Linked DNA regions of Mus musculus: all the other regions are reported to be linked to region 1. Evidence: microRNA targets listed by miRTarBase, many of them from high-throughput screens and not tested one by one. Region 1 holds a microRNA gene; each other region holds the end of a gene's coding sequence.
The links. Region 1 holds the annotated microRNA mmu-miR-742-3p (GAAAGCCACCAUGCUGGGUAAA, at 1,801-1,822, shown strand). A microRNA usually pairs through its seed, bases 2 to 8, with sites in the 3' UTR of a target mRNA and lowers its output. Matches are read on the target gene's strand: a 7mer-m8 pairs with bases 2 to 8, a 7mer-A1 pairs with bases 2 to 7 and ends in A, and an 8mer does both.

Region 1 (4,152 bases):
TACTACTCAGCTATTAAGAGGGAGGACATCCTGAGTTTTGCAGTCAAATGGATGGAACTAGAAAATATCCTGAGTGAGATAACCCAGACAGAAAAGAACATGCATGGTATGTACATACTTATACCCATGACATACGCCCACAGACCCTAAGAAGTTAAACAAGAAGGAAGGCCCAATTGAAGATGCTTGAATCACACTTAAAAAGGGTAACAGAACTGTCATGGGAGGCAGAGGGAGCAATGTGGGTATGTGAGGGGGATATGTTTGCAGGATCAGGTGTGGGAAGGGAAAAGAAAGAGGCCCATAGGCCCAGGAGAATGAATGGAAATCTCTATCTTGCAGGGGACTTACGGGTGGAGGTAATCTCTAAGCAGACCCTGAGACCTAGGATAGGGAAGGCTCCCAGGAGCCATTGTGTGTGACCTTAGCTGAGATGCCTAACAATGTGGACATGGAACCTGAAGAGGCCACCTCCTATAAACAGGCAGGACCTCCTGTGAAAGATAAGGACACGAACCCACCCATAAAACTTTTGACCTAAAATCCACATTTTTTAAATTATATTTTTATTAATCCTTTACAATTTCATATTCACTTTGGTCATAATTATAATTAAGTTTGATAAAAGAATATGTTTTGTTGTGATCATCATTTCTCTTTAAGTTAGGGTAGTGACAGGTTTTTATGTGAAATGTACATGCAAAATCAATTGGATTTTCAATATCATCAGCTTAAGTGTGAAATCAAACATTTACAGACACAGTTTAGTGGGGGTGTGTTTAATTGTGAAGATTGTGATAAAAGCTGTTGGATGAAATTGTTGTTGTTGAGATGAAGTACAAAGGATCAGTCTATGCTATCTCAAAGTACAGATTAATACATACTGAAGCCTTCATTTGATATATTCTCTTGATGCTGATGACTAAATCATTGCAGGTATCTTGAGGTCTTGCCTTGTTCATTTGTTATTCTTTGGTGTCACCTGACCTATATATTTATAAGAATATTTGTCTTGTTAATTCTATTTTTGTTTTGTTTTGTTTTGTTTTTTTGAGACAGGGTTTCTCTGTTGACCAGGCTGGCCTTAAACGAACTCAGAAATCCGCCTGCCTCTGCCTTCCGAGTGATGGGATTCACGCCCGGCTATGACTTGTTAATTCTTAACCTCTTGAATTCATACAGATTCGAGGAGTATCAAGAAAGAAGCAAGTCTGATACCTTGAAATGGAGATGGAAGATAATGGAAAATATGATTATACTTCCTGAGGAATTATGTGTAAAGAAATAACATTGCATTCATGTCATACTGAGAAGAATCATGAAAGTTGTTTTTGAAGTCAGCTGATAATAATAATAATTCGTGTGCACTATAATGCTGAGAGAAGTAGCAGTTACTTTATTCTATAAGTAACTGCAACAGCTCTCAGTATTGTAAGGCTCAACAAACGCAGGGATGGTAGCCATATGGTCATATTATGCCTTCATAGAGAAGATAAATGTACTGATTCTGGATTATACTTCATCCATCTTCATGATATCTTCAGATCTATAACCATAGAGAAGAGAACGGTTGTAGAACTTTAGAAGTATACTAAGAAAAATCCTAATGGTGGAACATGAGAAGACAGCTTCGAAGAAGAATGTGTGGTTAAAAAAAAAAAGTAATTATTGTTGACGACTTACTTCAATGTTCTATTCAATTTTATTTCACATGTTGAAATAAAGACTTCAGATGGGCTGGTTCTAGAGTACCTGGGCAGTGCTCTACTCACATGGTTGCTAATCACGTGAAGTGTAGGTGAAAGCCACCATGCTGGGTAAAGTAAAGCTCATCATGTTCTTCATTTGTTGTGGCCTTGGGTAGTAAAGATGAAGAAACTATACATCCTTATTATGGCTCCAGAATCTGCTTCCTTGTACCTGAAGAAACTATGCTCTCATTTTTTTTTTAAGTTTAAATGTTGTGGAAGTTAGCATTATTCTAGCTTGCACAGAACCCAAATTATACAAATTATAAGAACAGAAAATTGCATGCCAGTCTCAATAGGGATCATGAATATAAATATCAGAAATAAAACCAATCAATGATTTCAGGCCCAACTGAATATCAATTCAAATATCTTGTGACAACTTAGATGATGAGTGCACGAAAGTGGACTGAAAAGCTACAAGTAATTAGAGTCTTCCTTTATAAATATGGCCCTAAGTGAAAAAGAACCAAACAGATTTAAATTCAAGTCACTGAAATTATGATGGTATCAGTGATTTGAATTTAAATAGACCAAGTTCCTATCTTCTGTATTCTGTAACTTTCTCCAGTAATTGAACAGCGATATACAGGTACAATTGTGTTGTATTCTCATCCTATGCTCCCAATATTCTGATTCTTTTAGAAGATTTTCATTACCTAGTTTTTAAAAGTCATTTGCAAAGTATATCACTGATTAATCTTAAAGTCACACTGGCTATCTGGCTATAGGTCAAGAGGTCTTCCTTTATCATGCAAGGTGACAAAGTATATTTTGTATTCCCAAACAGTTGAAAATAAATAAATCAATGTTAATATGTCATGCTGTAATTGGTGAAGTGATGAAAACTGCTTGGGATGATTAGCCTACATGGATGATACCTCCATATCTTCATGCTTTATGTTATATCTCACTCAAGAAGCTGTTAGACAGTTGGACTACCGACAAATCTTCCAGGTAAAGTACTGCTCTTTAATTCAGTTATTTTTGATAGGTTCTAGGTAGTATTAGTGCTTTCCATGTAAGATCACTGATAATGGTTTTCAGGATGATCACAAAGCCTTACTATACAATTGTGTGTATCTTTTTAATCACTTTCATGGGACAGCATTCAAGCATCTATGTTAGGTAAGGAAAAGGAGAACAAGGTGCTAAAATTAAGAATTATGCTTTCATAAAAAGAAAATGAGGTACACTGTGTTAATGAAAGACTAAACACAGAAACGGTTTGAGTCTTTGTTGCCCCATATCCTTACTTTTTCAACATAGTGTAGACTATCCATGTTTCACCTCATGGGTACTTTCAAAATAGAGAATGTAAAGAAAGAAGATAATCTAAAGAAAAAAAAAATAATTTCCTTCCCAGTAATTAAATAAAGTTAAAGGACTTTTATCTCTCTGATCCAGAAGTGGTAGAGATAGAAAGTGAAGGAGAGTATATATATTCCCTAAGAACTTGAGTTAAGGACTCCTGAAACTTCTTGGTAATGCAAGAGTCAGATGAGATGATATGTCTCCATTCATTTTGGTGTGTGCATTGTGATATAGGACAGATACCAGTCACTTTCTACTAACCTCTCTCAATATAAGGATACAGAAAAAAGTAAAACTTGATGAAGATGATGAGGACGATGATGAGGATGATGAGGATGATGATGATGATGATTTTGATGAAGAGGAAACTGAAGAAAAGGTCCCAGTGAAGAAATCTGTACGAGATACCCCAGCCAAAAATGCACAAAAATCAAACCAAAATGGAAAAGACTTAAAACCGTCAACACCGAGATCAAAGGGTCAAGAGTCCTTCAAAAAACAGGAAAAGACTCCTAAAACACCAAAAGGACCTAGTTCTGTAGAAGACATTAAGGCAAAAATGCAAGCAAGTATAGAAAAAGGCGGTTCTCTTCCCAAAGTGGAAGCCAAGTTCATTAATTATGTGAAGAATTGTTTCCGGATGACTGACCAGGAGGCTATTCAAGATCTCTGGCAGTGGAGGAAGTCTCTTTAAGAAAAGGGTTTAAACAGTTTAAACAGTTTGGGGTATCTCTCTCAATATAAGGATACTCATAAAGTACTGTCATTGTAAATGTAAGAACATAGATGCACATGCAAGAGTATTTTCTGATTCTAAGATCGATTGTAGCTACCTTCACAGGACATTGTTTAGGTGAAGATATAGGGGGAACCTTTCATCTAATTCCTATTTCTCATAGGTGAAAATATTTAAAATTAGGGACATAGCACTATGGAAAATAAGTTTAGTTTCATTTTAATTTTTAAGTGCTTTTTAAATTAAAATATTTTATAATTCTCCCCTTTCGTTTCTTCCCTTCAGCCACTCTAATCAACTAACCCCTTTGTTCTCTCTCTCATTCATGCCCTGCTTAGTCCATATTTTGAAAGT
Region 2 (4,000 bases), not on the chromosome of region 1:
ACGCCTTTAATCCCAGCACTCGGGAGGCAGAGGCAGGCGGATTTCTGAGTTCGAGGCCAGACTGGTCTACAAAGTGAGTGCCAGGACAGCCAGGGCTACACAGAGAAACCCTGTCTCGAAAATCCAAAAAAAAAAAAAAAAAAAAAAAGAAAGAAAAGAAACTTAGAGTAAAGCAAACAGAAGCTTCCCTGCTGGGGCAGGACCAAGCAATCCAGAGCCTCCCCCCTGAGAAGCTATGCACCCCACCAGAGAAGCTACCATAAACCACAGCATACACATGGCAGGACTGTAACCACGGGCACATTTTGTTCTCGAAGCCAGGAAGACAATGAAGGCTAAGGATTTGCTTATGTCTTCCATCTAGGAAATGCCCATTAGCTCAGAGCATCCATGGGATGCTGCGAAGTGGCAGGGCTGTACTGTGCCTGTCCAGTCAGATGCTACAGAATGGCTACACCCTGGATGATTGGCCCTGGACCCTGCTCCTCACATACCATGGCTTCTTCCACATGGTCTTGCTGTTGGTGCTGTCTTGGCGACTCTTGTATCCTTCGAGATGGGCCTTGCTCAGCGTGAGGCCTAGAGAACCTGAAGGCCCTTTGGAGTGAACACTGCTGCCAGCCCAGAGGCACTGCCCTTCTGAGCTGCTCAGTGACCTACAGGCAGCCATCATCTGAAAAGTCAGAGGGTCCTAGGTGATGAGTTGAACTCTTCAGTTCTCTGTTGGTGGTATACTTTCATAAGGCTATCTGGGTAAGGATAGGAGTAGATAGACTGAATGTTTGTCATGGTAACTCTTTTGTTTTTTATTTGCACACAGCATATGCTTGTGGCTGTATGTGCGACACTATAATCAGGTAGACCCAGTACAACACAGTCCTCCGCTCTGCAGCATCCCAGCATGATCACTTGTGGACAACTTGACCTGTGTGTTTGTCAGTGTTGTAAAGAAGGGATAAAAAGAGGGCTTATTTGTTCAGGCTGGGTGGTGGGAGGCAGAAGACAGCACTTCATATCTTGTAGCTCTTAAGCGTGAGAGACAATTTAACTGAAACTCCATATCCCAGTGGTAACGTTGGGATAACAGGTTTAACCTTCAGGAGCACAAAGTGGGTTGTCACTTCAGGTTACATATATCTGGTTATAGCAAGGGAAAGAGCTATTGCTTAACAGCTTCTAGAACATCTGACTTGAGAGTCTCAAATGGTTCTGAAAGGGACCCCATCCCTGAGCCACACACCCCAGCCCCTCACTGGGAAATTCTAGGCAGGAACTCCACCCCTGAGCCAGACTCTCAGTCCTTTCCTGTAAAATTATACTATGTCACTCTACATGAACTACATCTCCAGCCACGAGAAGTTTCTGAACAACATTCCAAACAGACACACATATAGAGCTGGTGATATGGTTCAGTGGCATCAAAAGGCCCTAGCCCAGAACCAAAAATAAATAAATAAATAATAATAAAAACCAAGAAGATTCATGGGTTTCAATTTTTCACACACACAGTAAGTAGTCCAAAAACACTTTATCAGAACTCAAATGAGATAATAAGTGCAAACCCTATGACAGCATTCTTTTTCAGCACAATTCCTCTTCAGAATGAATGGAACCTTTTTTTCCTGAAACTACAGTCCTAAGCTGAGAAAGGCAGAAAGCCATCCCAACTATCCAAGGCTGGGGATCAGCCAACAGAGTGGCATGTTACAATGCTAGGCAAGTGGGTAGGCTCAGGCATGCTGCGGGTGTGAAGGACACAATCAACAATGTCTGCAGCAGCTGTGCAGCCTGAACTTAGACTTGACCCAGTTCCCACATTACCAGAGTTTTCCCCATAGTTCCCGGGGAAGCCTGGGGTAAAATGCTATTATGACTAGGGTTGGTAGTACACACTTGGGATTCTAGCACTAAAGAGGCTGAGGCAGGAGAATGGAAAGTTCTCAATCAGCACAGATTCCATCAAGATGGTCTCAAAGACTAACCAACCAGCCAATAAAAAAACCTGGTATGGTAGTACTCAATTGGGATCTTGTCTCACTACTGAAAAGATAAGGAGTTCAAGGTCATCTGCCACAGTTTGGGGCTGTCTTTAAAAAAAAGCCAAAATGAGGGGCTCAGGACACAGGTCACTCTCAAAAGACCCAGCACTCACATGACAGTTCACAACTGGCTGTAACTCTAGCTGCAGATTAGAGGACTTCTGGCCTCTGCAAGCCCTGCATCCACATGTGTGCAGACATGCATGCAGGCAGAATACCATACATATAAAACAGAACAATCTTTAAAAAGAAAAGAAAGAAACCAATCCAAAAAGAGAGCCCCAAAGCAAGCCAGCTGCTACAGCTTTCAAATGCTGATTAAAGTCCCTCAGCACTGCCGGCATGGCCATCTCTAGATGGAACGCATCTCAGAGCTGATGGCGTAGTCGCCTCTGAACCTCATGCACCTCAAGCTTGAGCTCCCCTCCTTCAAAGAGAGACCCAGAAACCCAAACCTTCAGAGTACGCTGCCAACATCACAAGCAACAATAAAGGAGTGGCCCCAAAGTCACTTTATTAACAAGTGGCTTGAAAGCACAGAGAGGTGTCTGCTAACATCACCACTAGCACCTCTTCCACAGGCCTCTTCTGGAGAAGCTGAGTATGTTATGGCTAACAGCTTAGTGTCTAAAGAAGAGGCTGGTGTCCCAAGGGAGGAGGACCGGCTCCTCCAAATGTTGGAGCAATCTTTGGCTGCCCCAGGTAGACCCAGTTATGGGGTGAGGAGGAAACGTTTGGAAGTAAGACCTCACTGGCCCCAGACTGTTGGGTCCACCAGCATAGACCTGGTAGTGCAAAAGAGACTGCTAGACTGTCATAGCTGGCCCGGCAAGCAGGTGCCTGAGTCACATCAATTAAGGACAATCTGTGCAAGGCCAGGAGTGGTGGCATACACCTTTAATCCCAGCACTTGAGAGGCAGAGACAGGCGGATCTCTATGAGTTTGAGGCCCGTCTGGTGTGTGAGTTCCAGAATAGCCAGGGCTAACCAGAAAAACCCTGTCTCAAAAAAACAAAAAAACAGACAAAGACACCCAAATCAAACCAAAACAATCACCATCAATTCAACCAAGAAATAGCCCAGGTCAGGTTTCTGGAGAAGCTGGGCCAGGAGAAGATAGAATGCCAGCACAAGGTAAAGACCTAGGTCTTTCTCCTAATAAAGTCTGACTTTGTCACTGTGGCTGACGAGGGTCAGGGAGCTGGGAAATGGACATTCTCCACCCAAATGAGCTTGGGCCTTCTGGGAAGGTCCCTGGTTTTCCATTGAGAAGATTCTTGAAGTCATCAGAAACAGAAATAGAGCCTTGATGTCCAGCAGGTGATCTCTGGGTTCCACGCAGGACTCAAGAGCCGAACAGTCTGGAAAAGTCAGAAGGTGAAATGACCATGAGGACAGGAAGGGGCTGTGGTAAAAACTCTGGCACACAGCTGGGCGTGGTGATGCACATCAGCTATCCCAGCACCATTGAGGCCAAGCAGGAGGACTACACAGTTAAAACCAGCGTGGGCTACACAACAAACTACTATCTCGAACACACTGTTGGGGATTATTTTTCATGAAAGTGCTTCATGGTTCTGCACTTAAACATAACTATTGGCTAGGCAAGGTGACACAGTGAATAAAGGAGCTTGCTGCCAAACTTAATGGTCTCAGTTTGATCCACAGGATCAACAAGGTGGAAGGAGAGAACCAACTCCTGAAAATTGTTCCCTGCCTTCCACAAGCATACTTTATCACATGTGTGCACCCCTAGGTAAACATATAAAATAATACCACAAAAAACAAAAACCCTGTTGGCTGGACACTGAGGTATATGCCTGTAATCCCAAGAGGCATGCTAACACTGATGCCTGACTGCCAAGGTATGAACTCAGATCCCTACTTCACACTATAAAAGCCATTTCAGTGGTCACACTTGTGTGTCTCAGGACTCACAGGTCTGGGGCAGAGGCATCAGA
Region 3 (4,000 bases), not on the chromosome of region 1:
ATGCTATGCCGAAGCAATAATGAGCCTCCTAAACTGACTGCTTGGCTCTGTGCCAGCTCCATACCCAGTGTCGACAGGCCAAGCATGCCCAGGCAGGTCTTTCACGTCCTACTCTGAATGCCTCCTTTGTTTCAGAGTTAAGGCTATGAAGGGTGCCAAAAGATTAAGTGATTTATCAGTAGCATCAGAGGCACATGAAGCTCAGTTCCTCTCTTTGTACAGAAGTGAAGTACTCGGCCCCTCCCCCACTTATAGGCTGCCAGAACCCCGACAGCACAACAGATTCTACTTCCTGAAAATCCAAAAGAAACAGCCTTAGTTTGGGTGAGGAACAACAGTTACCATTTGGCCAAACAAGCAACCTTTCGCTACAGATTTGCTGGCTTTTGCCCTAACAGTTTCTAATTTAAGTCATCAAGTTACTGAGACCAAAAGGGATTGCTGTTAAAATGACTTTTCAACATCCTGGCCCTATCTATGGTGGTGCATGCTTTTAGTCCAAGCACTCCTCACCTGTGTGAGGAGTCAATATGCCAATGCACATAAAATAAAAATAAATAGATCATTTAAATATATAGATAGATAATCCCAGCATTCCTGAGGCAGAGGCAGAGGCAGGTGGATCTTTGGGTTCAAACCCAGCCTGGTCTAGTACAGCCAGAGCTACACAGAGAAACCATGTATCCAAAAACTAAAAAGAAAAAGAAACGACATAAAAAAGGAAATTGCTTTACATTCTTCTCTCTATCTCTCCCCCACCCCCACCCTGCCCCCTTGTATGAAATAGAAATCCCTCATCTAAATCCTGGGCTATGAACTAGTAATTAATTTTAGAACTTTCAAACAATAACATACCGCCCTGTTCTTAAAACTAATATAATACATTTGCTTTTCAGAGCTATTGTACCGGTTCATCTTGTTTCATTCCAAAGCCCACAGTGGAAGGTTGCTAGGCGGGTACGTTATTCCAGGTGCCACTCACTAGGTGTGCGACCACAGGAACGTGCACACCCTCTCTGCGTCTCAGTCTCTCACATGCACAATACAGAGCCTGTGCGATGTGGTGGGCTATCATATAAGGAAGGAGTGAATTCCTACTGAGAACAGCAGTGCCTGCGCCACTCAGAGGACTCTATTCACATTACTGGAAGTGCTGCTGCATCCTGAGGGCTTGCCAGGTTCTGTATCAGAATCAAGGTTAGCATCCTATCTGGAGAGGTTCTCCATTTGATTGTTAAGAATATCCCCAGTACACTACAGATCTGTTCTTTCCATTACTCACCACCCCTACCCCCACCCCCACATAGACACATACACACACACACCCTGTACCTTCTGCCCCACCCAAGCTTTGCTGACTATTCCCTTTGTAGCCTTCCCCCCAACTCATAATTTCACGTTTTCTTTCTTGTCTGTCAGATGAGAAACAACCCTGCAGACGTAGCAATCACAGCACCGTCTTTCTGCCCCAGCAGACTCCTACAGCGTGCTGTTTGTAGTTACTAAGAGCTTTTAATTTAGCTGAAATCTGGGTTTAGGCACCGTGGAAATTAATAACTTAGACCTTCCTTAACTTTATGAGTTTTTTTTCCCTCCTGGCCAGTGGCCATGCCACTGGAAACCACAGGGCAGACTGGTTCAAGGTGCATTGAGAAACACCAGGATACACCAGCCTGAGCTGTGAGAGTCACAAGAACTTCTTGGGAAAGGTATGTACCAGTGTTGTTAGTGAACAGATTCCAGTTCATACAGAGACCAGCCTCCATACATTTTTATTGGAGTTAATATAGAAGCAGATAGTTTTCTCAAAAGTCTACAGACATCTTAAAAACAGAATTCCCACCAGCACAGAGGCATCACCGCATCCTTTTACCTGGAAAGCAGGTAACATGGAGAATACTATACCTCTGTGTAGCAAGAATTTCAAAGATTGACATACGTTTCTAGAATTCTTTTATTTTTGGCTATGGTATGGATCCCTCCACAGAAACCCCAAAGGCTAGCATCTGATACCTCCTTCCTCACCAACTGCAGAGGGAAAGTCAAACGAAGGGCCAGGGTCTCCTTCCCAGATTTCCTGGCAGTGTTGGGTACAGAACAGCTTTGATACTTCAAAAACAACCACACCCATAACTATTTTTTTAATACTCAAGATGCAGGTTTTGGAACAAGAGGAAAACGTGACAGTCACCGACTACAATCAGGGCTCTTGGAACTGATCTACTTCACAGGCCTTCCTGCCCAGGCCTGGCAACCGGCCTGGATTGTGGGGACTCCTCGTTTCAAAACCACAAAGTTCAAGAAACCTCTGTGTCATCTTTGAAAAGAAAATGGAAAGCCATCACCAGAGGAACGCACAGTGAGCGGCAGCTCAGCCTTTCCATGTAACAAACAGGCCACTCTCTAGGAAACAGATTGTCCATCGTAGAGCCCCCAGAAAATCATCACCAGGAAGAGCTTTCTAATAGCGCTTCCAGGAACGAGGAGGGTCATCAGGTGTCGCTGGTTTCACTAAGTCTAGGAAACACATTTTCTTAAAATGGGATGAGTCACCACTAACTCATAATGAATCAAAACTAACAAATATTTGAGTACTCAGACACACAAAAACAGCTATAAATTTGTGTGCCAATGAAGAAAAAGAAAAGAATGGGGCTGGAAAGTTGGCTCAGTGGTTAAAGAGCACTGGCTGCTCTTCCAGAGGATCCAAGCTAAATTCCTAGCACCCACACAGCAGCTCACAACCATCTTTAACTCCAGGTCCAGGGGAACTAATGCCCTCTCCTGTCCTCTGCAGGTATTACATGCGTATGATGCATAGATTAGAATGCAGACAAAACACTCATACACATGAACTACAAATACATCTTTGTCTGACAGTGGCAGCATACACTCCCAGCACTTGGGAGGCAGAGGCAAGTGGATCTCTATAAGTTCAAAGCCAGCCTGGTCTATGGAGTGAGTTCTAGGACAGTCAGGGCTACACAGAGAAACCCTGTCTCAAAAAAAAAAAAAAAAAAAAAAAAAAAAAGAAAGAAAGAAAGAAAGAAAAGAAAAGAAACATCTTGGTTGTGCTTTCAAACCAGTCATGAAAACTTACATCTTGAAGTATAAACTGTGGCTGTCGCTTCAAGGGAGAAAGGTGGGAGGCATCAGTTTGGGTGGGAATTACGCTAACAGTGCAACACAAGCTGTTTCACAGGGAACACGGAGCCAGTCACAGAAAGAACTGAGCTAGCACGGAGGGATCGCTGGAGCTTTGGCTTCCAGGGTTGATACAAAATGCAGTTCAACAGGATCTCAGTGCCACAGCGGCAATCCCCTCCCATAACATTTGTTTTCACGCACTTTTACTTTCTTTAGGTCATGACTGAAATTAAGTCAGGAGATAAGCCCTCAGCCACCCCCAGCTCTCCCAGATCAGGCTCCACTGGCTGCAGCCTTCTTCCCACGGGCAAGGCGAAGGTCAGTCACATTTGCAGCCTGAGGAATCAGCAATACCTATCTACATGTATATATTTTAATGGTCTTTCCATTAAAGTCCTCCAGCCACTGGGGAGCAAGGTAGAGTTTTCACCTGGGCCAAAAGGTTGTGGAATTCCTCCACTGCCTGCGAGTGTGCCACTGGGTTTAGTACCAGGTGCTGGAAAAGATTGACAGGCTCAGCATTCCGAAATGCCTTAGGAATGGGTATGGTCAGGGGCAGGTAGGTGTTACCAATGAGGAAATGATGGAGAGACCTTTGCTGGAGGCCTCGGCCTAAGAACCAGAGGAGGTCCTGGAGGCGCAGAGAGAGCATACTGTGCTGCCAGTCTGTCAGAGGCAGTCGTAGCAACAAGTGCATGAGGGCTGTCTTGAAGTGGTAGGAGGTGAGAATGGGGCGAGATGCTCCCGGGGGTAAGATCTGATGGTCCTGAAGACTCAAAACGATCTGCAGGCACTTGAGGTGGCAGGTGTTCTCAGGGGCAAAGCGCCCCACCAGCTTCAGAAACAAGTGTTC
Region 4 (4,000 bases), not on the chromosome of region 1:
AGGAAACACACACCCTTTAAAAATAACCACCTCAAATGTGTAGAAACACTCCATCGTCTACTCTCAATTTGATCAAGGCCAGGAAAGGCGGCTGCAGCACCATATGCAGACTCATAATTCTGAGAGGGGCAGTGCTCACTTGAGACAAGAAAATGAGAAGACACGAATCCATTTCAGTGGCTTACACACTAAGCAGCTGGCCATCAGAGAGGCTGAACTTGCACTGTACCATTAAAACACATTCTGGGGTAACGAGAGTAAACCCGCTATATCTGCGGCACACTTATACAAAGGTGAACCCGCTATATCTGCGGCACACTTATACAAAGGTGAACCCGCTATATCTGCGGCACACTTATACAAAGGTGATCACGCAGTGTCAGTTCTGAGGTAGTCACCAGGAAATATGAAGACACCGTTCATGACTGCAAATGGTGGACAGCTTTCAAGGTTATTTCTAATCATCTTTCAGTGGCCCCTCTATAGTTGCCCCTCCTAATATCCTTTGATGGCTTTAATGAAGACTCTACTACAATTTCATAAATATGCCCCAGATATAATGCACACAGAAGTGAGGGAGCATCAAGAGATCCTCATGTCTTGGATGTGAATAGAAAAACATATAGAATGGAGTGTCGCTGTAGGAACACACTGGAAGGCACTCAGAAGAGAAGATCTGAGCTCTCAATCCAAAGACGGGGCGTGAGGCCTGTTACTTGACTACAGTTTCTAGGGCTTTGGAGTAGCTACGGTTTAGGCATGGCTCCAAGATGCTGCCTATACCAATTTGGATGGAGCTCGGAGCCACAAAGGTCACATAAAGACACAGACCCGTTGAGTGGGCTCAGTTACAGCCCGAACACCCAGGTGGCCGTATTCCTATTCCAAGTACTGCCAAGCCCTGGCCGTTTCTCCTCTTTGAAAAGTCTTGATTCATTTAATTCTCCTGAAGGAGGCTGGGGGAGGAAGGGCTTTGCAAACCTCTCCGTTCTACAGTTTGGAAGGCACAAGGCACAGTCACCGTTCCGTCCTGGCTCTGTGACAGATTTGAAGTGTGACATTTTGCTAAGTGAGAAGCTGTGTGCCCGCTCCTTCTCTGCTGCCCTTACTGAAGCTTCAATATTTGCAAAACATAACGTCAAAATATTTCAGATCCGGCCCAAAGTCATTTGTTACTCACGCAGCGTAGCCCTTACTACACCAGCATATCGTAAGCTCCCAGCACAGGGTCCTGCCACCCGGCTCTGCTCCTTCTCTTCACTTACAGTGCCTCCTCCTCTTTGGGAAGTTAATAATTTGATCATAATAGTAAAATCCCCATCTTATGCAGACAGAATATTATAAGCTGGAACCACCCCAAGCCTTGGTTGTGTTAGAAAAGTAAGAAACCCACAGGCTAAAATTGCTCTACCCTTTAAAATGCCCCCCCCCCCCGTGAGTTGTTTGTAAAGCATACGTTTGTAAAGCTTAGAGCAACTTAACTGTGTGGGGGAATCTTAATTTCCTCATTTAAAAAACAAAAACAAAAACCTGTTGAGTTTGTTGGACAAAGGCATTCTGTGTGTGCTTCCAGCAGGGCTGGGTGCACAGTAACAGGCGTGAAAACAGCGTCACTTTGAAAGGACAGCCCGTGACATCCTGGATTCTCTACCATGTACCATGTTTTATAGAAAACTATCGAAAGTCAGCGTGAGATTGGTTACTCTTAACTGTGTGTGTGCATTCATGGGAAGGCCAGGGGCCAGCTATCCACTCCGGGTTATTTTTAGTGTTGGTTTTTTTCTTGAGACAAACTCTCTCATCATGGACCTGAAGTTAATCACTACACTAAAGATGGCTGGTGAAGGAGCCCCAGGGATCTGCCTGTCTCTGCCTCTGCAATGCCAGGATCACAAGCACACACCTGTGCCTGGCTGTTTTACATGGGATCAGGTTCTTACTGGGATGGCAAGGACTTTGATAACTGAGCCATCTCCACAGCCCGGAGCTGGTTATTCTTAACAAACACTAAAGGTTTCCCAGGTTAGTACCAGGAAGCTTACTGTGGCATTCATGCAATTTTGTCTGAAAGCAGTCCCCCCCCCTTTTTTTTTCTTGTTTTTGTTTGTTAAGTTTTGTTTTTTTCAAGACAGGGTTTCTCTCTCTGCTCTGGCTGTCCTAGAACTTTCTTTGTAGACCAGGCTAGCCTTCAACTCACAGAAATACACCTGCCTCTACTTCCCAAGTGCCGGAATTAAAGACATGTGCCACCACCACCCCATTCCTTTTGGTGGAATTTTACCCAATTACATAGCAAAGTCTGTCTTAACCAAGTACCATGTCTTAACTCTAAACTGAGACTGAATACCCTAACTGTGGACGTATCACCCAAACAAGGGCTTTGAGACATTCTGTCTCTAGGTCAATTGTAAAAGCCCTCATTACTAGGATTTCCCAGGAAGTCCATGTGTATGACAGGACTTAGTACCCAATCCCATCAAAGGTACTTGGTGGTCCTGGGAGATACTTTTCAATATCACAAATGTGTTGTTAATATAAGCATTTCCTGTGACAAATGCTCTTGGTTGTTTCCCCTCTGAGAGTGTTTCAATGTTTTACAAGATCATTTTTTGCAGTGGATGATTTCCAGGAAAGTGGATCTTCAGCCATCTTCCCTTGTGGCTGTAATTTTTCCTAACACCAACGGTGCTGCCTAAGAACAGCCAGAGCTCATTAAACAGAATCCTGAGCATAATTATAATGAACAATTAGCTGGAAATTAGTCTTAATGATTTGTTTTAGATGACAGACTAGAGGCATAATATAATTATTTTTAAACTTTCCTCGTCGTTAAGAATGCAACAGCACCACCTTTCAATTATGGTGAATCAGACCTCACGGAGGCTGCAGCCCACTCGTGGATCGGAGCTAAGGCAACCGGAAGTCTGCACCCCAGCCCAGGTGTTCAGAATCACTCAGCCTTCCTGTTCAACTAGTTTTTTTTTTTTAAAGCCATTTCATGCCTTGAAGACATCTCCACTGTGAAAACATAAAAGCACTCAACTGAGATCCAGCTTTCCTTAGACCTTTCCCAAGACACCACGGGGATAATGGCAGGTGGTAGAGGAGCCGGAAGACTCTAGAGTCTATGGGTGATGCCAGTTCACACCATCGCACTGGACTAACGGGAAGGCGGAGGAGGGTGAGGATGTAAGGGCGGCTGGGATAAACACCAGAGCTAGCGCTGGCTCTAGGTCATCTCTTCCCTGTCTGGTGTTCTTTTCCTTTCGGTGTTCACCAAGTCAATTTGAATCTTGTTTCTCATTAGAACTTTAAAAATAGGTTAGATTCTCTAAATCACGCGTGTGCGCATGCGTGTGCTCCCAATGTCCCCGGAGCTGGAGGTACAGGTAACTGTGAGCCACTGAACTTGGGCTCCGGAACTGAGCTTGAACCCGAGTCCTCCGCAAGAGCAGCAAGTCCTCTTCACTTGTAAGCCGTCTCTCCACCCCTGTCCTCACAAGAAGTTTTTAAAAAGTACAATAGAGATCCAAAAAACAAGTTGTTTTGTTTTCTGAAAAAAAAATCTAAAAATACACATTTAGAGAATGAAAAAGTATTCGTTGTCAAAAGTTTGCCTTTACAAAATTGTGGTTTTTTTCACCTTGCCTAGTCAGTGGGTGTGCCGTTTCTGAGCTTGTCTCCCTCTGAGCCAACCTGTTAGGCCTTTGGTAGCTGGCCATCAGAAGCCATCAGGGAGCGCAGCCCAACACCCACATAAAAGACCTGGTACCTGTGTTTCCACATCACAAAGCAAGCCAGCAAGCACACGAGGCCACAGACCAGGTTTAGGACCATCTGGATGATTAAGAACAATTTGAAAGTGCCAGTGACGCTGGTACAGTCAGTCACATCCCTGTAAACAAAGGCCCTGCTGAGCGGCTCCGAGGAAGGCAGCTTGCACTGGCAAGAATCCAGGGAGGTCTCGCAGGTAAACTGCGCAAGCAGGGAGTAGTGGTGG
Region 5 (4,000 bases), not on the chromosome of region 1:
GTTCTTACCTCTCAAGAGGCAAGCGGGACAGCCAAGCCCCACCAAGCCTCCCGCTGAATCAGTCATCGTCGCCAACCACAGCGACAGCAGCGGCATCACCCCGGGTGAGGCGGCAGCCATTGCCTCCACCGCCATCATGGTTCCCTGTGGCCTGGTTTTTATCGTCTTTGCTGTTCACTTCTACCGCTCCCTGGTCAGCCATAAGACGGACCGGCAGTTCCAGGAGCTCAATGAGCTGGCCGAGTTTGCCCGCTTGCAGGACCAGCTGGACCACAGAGGGGACCATTCTCTAACACCGGGCACCCACTATGCCTAAGTCCTCACCTTCCCACTGGCCCTTTGAGGCCTTGGCCTTATGCCCTTCTCCATGACCTTGTCCTGGCCCAGTCCGGAGGACGGCCTGTGTAGGCAGCTGGCTTTGCCAGGGCAGAGTGTGGAAGGAAGAGGCTTTAAAAAAAAAAAAATCACTGTACTTGGAGATTTTCTTCTGTGAGAATAAGCTTTCCCTGTTCTTCCAGCTGTCTGTCCCCCCTCCTGGTAGGATGTGGGGGGTGGGGCGGGGAATGGGGACAGTTGCTCTCTTTGTCCCTTCTTCTCCCCTGCACCAGTGCCACCCGGATGCTTCCTGTCCTGCCCTCAAACTCCTTACTCCTTAGCCAAGTGTGTGTGTGCGTGTGTGTGTGTGTGAGAGAGAATATGTATGTGCGCACATGTCTCCTCTCTGTGCGTGTGTGTACATGCATGTGTGTGCAAGTGTGCATGCACACTTGTATGTACACATAAAATATATTCACAAGGGACACCTCTTCCTCATGTCTGTGTTTGTTGGGTCTAGACTGCCTGATCGGATGGCCCAGTCAGGTGAGTCACTAAACACCAGTCTTTTTAAAAATTGAGAGGAAATGGCTCGGGGACAAAACACTAACCTGTCATGGTCAAAGCCCTAGGATTAGTCCAACAGCTGTAAAAAACTGTGTTGCTGGGGCTAGAACCCAGGAATTTGACAAGCACTCTCCCACTGAATTCTACTCCAAGACCTGTAACTTTGGAAAATTTCTACTCAAAAGAAACCTTCAGGGATACTAATTAAAATATGTACCGAGTTGTTTCTTTTGGAGGTAGTTACAGTCTACAGAGTCTCCAGAAGACCAGAAATGGCTGTGCACACACTGAGCCACTGTTTCTAGGAGAAAGTAAGTTAGGTCCCTGCAAACCTCCCGTCACAATATGTTCCTTATGTGATTAAGACATTAAACATGTCTTACATAAGACATGTTGTTTTAGGTGTCACTGAGGGCAGGAGAGATGGCTCAGTATTTAAGAGCATTTGGCTGCTCTTCAGAAGACCCAGGTTTCATACCTAATATCCCAGTTGCAGTCCACAACCATCTGTAACTTCAGAGCCAGGTGATCCAGTGGCCTCTTCTGGCCTTTGTGATTACTAGGCATGCATGTGGTTTGCAGACATACAGACATGGCTCATTTTTGCCCTTTTTTTTTTTTTTTTTTTTTTTTTTCTTGTCAGGGGGAGGTTAGACAGGATTTCTCTGTGTAGTTCTTTCTGTCTTGGAACTTAGTTTGTAGACCAGGCTGGCCTCAGACTTAAACAAAATCCACTCCCAAGTGCTAAGATTAGGGGCGTGCACCACCACCACCTGGTCACATTAATTTTTTTTTTTTTAAAGAATGCTATATTGGCAAGGCCAGCCTGGGCTACAGAGTGAGTTTCAGGACAGCCAGGGCTATACAGAGAAACCCTGCCAAGAAAAACCAAATAAATAAATAAATAAACCAAAAATGCTATATAGGGGGCTGGAGAGATGGTTAAGAGCACTGGCTGCTCTTCCAGACATCTTGAGTTCAGTTCCCAGCAACCTCATGGTGGCTTATAACCATCTTTAATAAAATCTAGTGCCCTCTTCTGGTCTTCAGGCATACATGTAGGAGACTACTGTATACATAATGAATAACTTTTTTATTAGATATAGTTTTTATATATATTGGGGCTGGAGAGGTGGCTCAGTGGTCAAGAACACATACTGCTAAGTTCAGTTTTGAGTGCCCAAAACAGGCAACTCAAAACTGCCCATAACTGGAGTTCCAGGGCATCCCTTGCCCTCTTCTGGCCTCTGGGGGCACTGCACACACGTGGTGCACATATATATTCATCCACACATATACACACAAAATCTTTTTTAGGACGACTTGAGATCAGAGAGAGAGAGAGAGCAGTGGTTAAGAGCACTCGCTGCTTTTTGTTTGTTTTTTGTTTTTGAGACAGGGTTTCTCTGTATAGCTCTGGCTGTCCTGGAACTCACTCTGTAGATCAGGCTGGCCTCAAGCTCAGAAATCTGCCTGCCTCTGCCTCCCAAGTGCTGGGATTAAAGGCGCGAGCCACCAATGCCTGGCTCACTCGCTGCTTTTCAAGAAGACTTGAATTCAGTTGCCAGAGTCCACATAAGGCGGCCTATAATTCCAGCTTCAGGGGACCTGACAGCCTTGTCTGCCTTCACTGCACACCAGCGCACACATGATGTATGCTCAAACCAACACACAGATAATCCTTGTTAGCTTAAACAGGACCTTCTAAAACCCAGGTATTACCTTCCATAGCCACAATTCCTGAGAACAGGATTTTATGTAGCCTGGGCTGGGCCTTGGTCTCTCAGCAACATCCACCTCTCGCGTGTTGGAATTCACAGTGATGCTTCATGTCCTCTTTATTGGGTGCTGAGAGTTAAATCAAGGGCTACTTCGATGCTAGGCAAGGGCTCTGTGCTGTCTAGATCGCCACCCCAAATTTAGGAAGTTGAATTTTGTATATTGCATTTACCACCTGATAACTCACATTCAGGTTCCTACTTGCCCTAGGAACTCCCCTACTCCATCCCTCTTCCCCCGTACCATTTGTAGTAACCAGTTGTCGCTTCTTGTCTCCTTTAATGTGGAACAGTCCCATGGCCTTGATCTTTTCAAATAGCCGAACCTTTGGAGGTTTTATTAAGATAGCTGAACGTAGCCCAGGCTAGACTCAAACTTGGTATGTAATGGAGGATTACCTTGAACTACTAAGACGACTCCTCCAACTCTCAACTTCTGGGCTTACAGGTACACACCGCCATACCAAGGATCTTGCAGAACTAGGGAACAAATTCAGAGCCACCCAAATGCCGCCCAGGCTCTCTGTGAACTGAGCCACCTTCCCTATCCCATCATGAACATTTTTTTTAAACATGTGTATGTGTGAGTGCATGTAAGTATATATAACACATATATACTCAGTGCCTCTGATGACCAGGAGAGGGTGTCATATCACCTGAGACCTGGACTTACAGGTAGTTGTTAGCTACCTACCATGTAGGTGTTGGGAACAAAACTAGGGTCATGCCTGGTGGTGGTGGCGGCGCATGCCTTTAATCCCAGCACTTGGGAGGCAGAGGCAGGCAGGTTTCTGAGTTGGAGGCCAGCCTGGTCTACAAAGTGAGTTCTAGGATAGCCAGGGCTACACAGAGAAACCCTGTCTCAAAAAAATAATAAAAATAATAACCTAGGGTTGTCTGTGGGAGCAGCCAGTGCTTTTTTACCCCTGAGCCATCTGCCCAGCCCAGATATTAACATTTTTATTTTTTCCTAAAGCAATCAGACCTATGGATTTACAGAATGCCTTATAGTTTAGCCTCTCTTGAGATTTTTTTTTTCATGGTTATAATCGGATTGTGCATTTCGGCAGGAATACCCCGTGAGGGTGTGTCAGTCCAACAGAAACAACAAAATAGGTCTAGTTAGCCAATGTGTGTGTTGGGGGTGGGGGGCGATGCTCTAAGTACTGCACGATGTTCATTTGACCCTCCGCATCCCTCTCAGGATTTTTTTTTGTAAAAATTTATTTATTATTATAAATAAGTACACTGTAGCTGTCTTCAGATGCACCAGAAGAGGGCATCAGATCTCATTATGGGTGGTTGTGAGCCACCATGTGGTTGCTGGGATTTGAACTCAG

Region 2: miRTarBase lists Smim7 as a target of mmu-miR-742-3p. Seed matches in the 3' UTR shown: 7mer-m8 at 2,097-2,103 and 7mer-m8 at 1,655-1,661.
Region 3: miRTarBase lists Itpripl1 as a target of mmu-miR-742-3p. Seed matches in the 3' UTR shown: 7mer-m8 at 2,938-2,944 and 7mer-m8 at 2,335-2,341.
Region 4: miRTarBase lists Sspn as a target of mmu-miR-742-3p. Seed matches in the 3' UTR shown: 8mer at 2,987-2,994.
Region 5: miRTarBase lists Orai1 as a target of mmu-miR-742-3p. Seed matches in the 3' UTR shown: 7mer-m8 at 414-420 and 7mer-A1 at 446-452.

The regions. Positions count from the first base shown.
Region 1 is chrX:66,778,046-66,782,197 of GRCm38, reverse strand. It overlaps Mir742 (microRNA 742), which reads left to right and starts at 1,761; the gene lies at 1,761-1,825. Mir883a (microRNA 883a) reads left to right here and starts at 1,365; the gene lies at 1,365-1,440. It also overlaps the pseudogene Gm14681.
Region 2 is chr8:72,564,409-72,568,408 of GRCm38, forward strand. Smim7 (small integral membrane protein 7) reads right to left here. Exons shown (of 5, transcript NM_172396.3): 5 at 790-3,400. The coding sequence ends at 3,385. Among named protein-coding and RNA genes, the nearest start is that of Smim7, 4.6 kb to the right of the region's middle.
Region 3 is chr2:127,137,022-127,141,021 of GRCm38, forward strand. It overlaps Itpripl1 (inositol 1,4,5-triphosphate receptor interacting protein-like 1), which reads right to left. Exons shown (of 2, transcript NM_001163527.1): 2 at 1,748-4,000. The coding sequence ends at 3,536. Gm35347 (a long non-coding RNA gene) reads left to right here. Exons shown (of 3, transcript XR_374955.4): 2 at 897-1,197; 3 at 1,604-1,722. Among named protein-coding and RNA genes, the nearest start is that of Itpripl1, 4.4 kb to the right of the region's middle.
Region 4 is chr6:145,961,195-145,965,194 of GRCm38, reverse strand. Sspn (sarcospan) reads right to left here. Exons shown (of 3, transcript NM_010656.3): 3 at 1-4,000. The coding sequence ends at 3,700. Among named protein-coding and RNA genes, the nearest start is that of Gm32838, 5.7 kb to the left of the region's middle.
Region 5 is chr5:123,029,365-123,033,364 of GRCm38, forward strand. Orai1 (ORAI calcium release-activated calcium modulator 1) reads left to right here. Exons shown (of 2, transcript NM_175423.3): 2 at 1-1,088. The coding sequence ends at 316. Among named protein-coding and RNA genes, the nearest start is that of Gm42023, 6.0 kb to the right of the region's middle.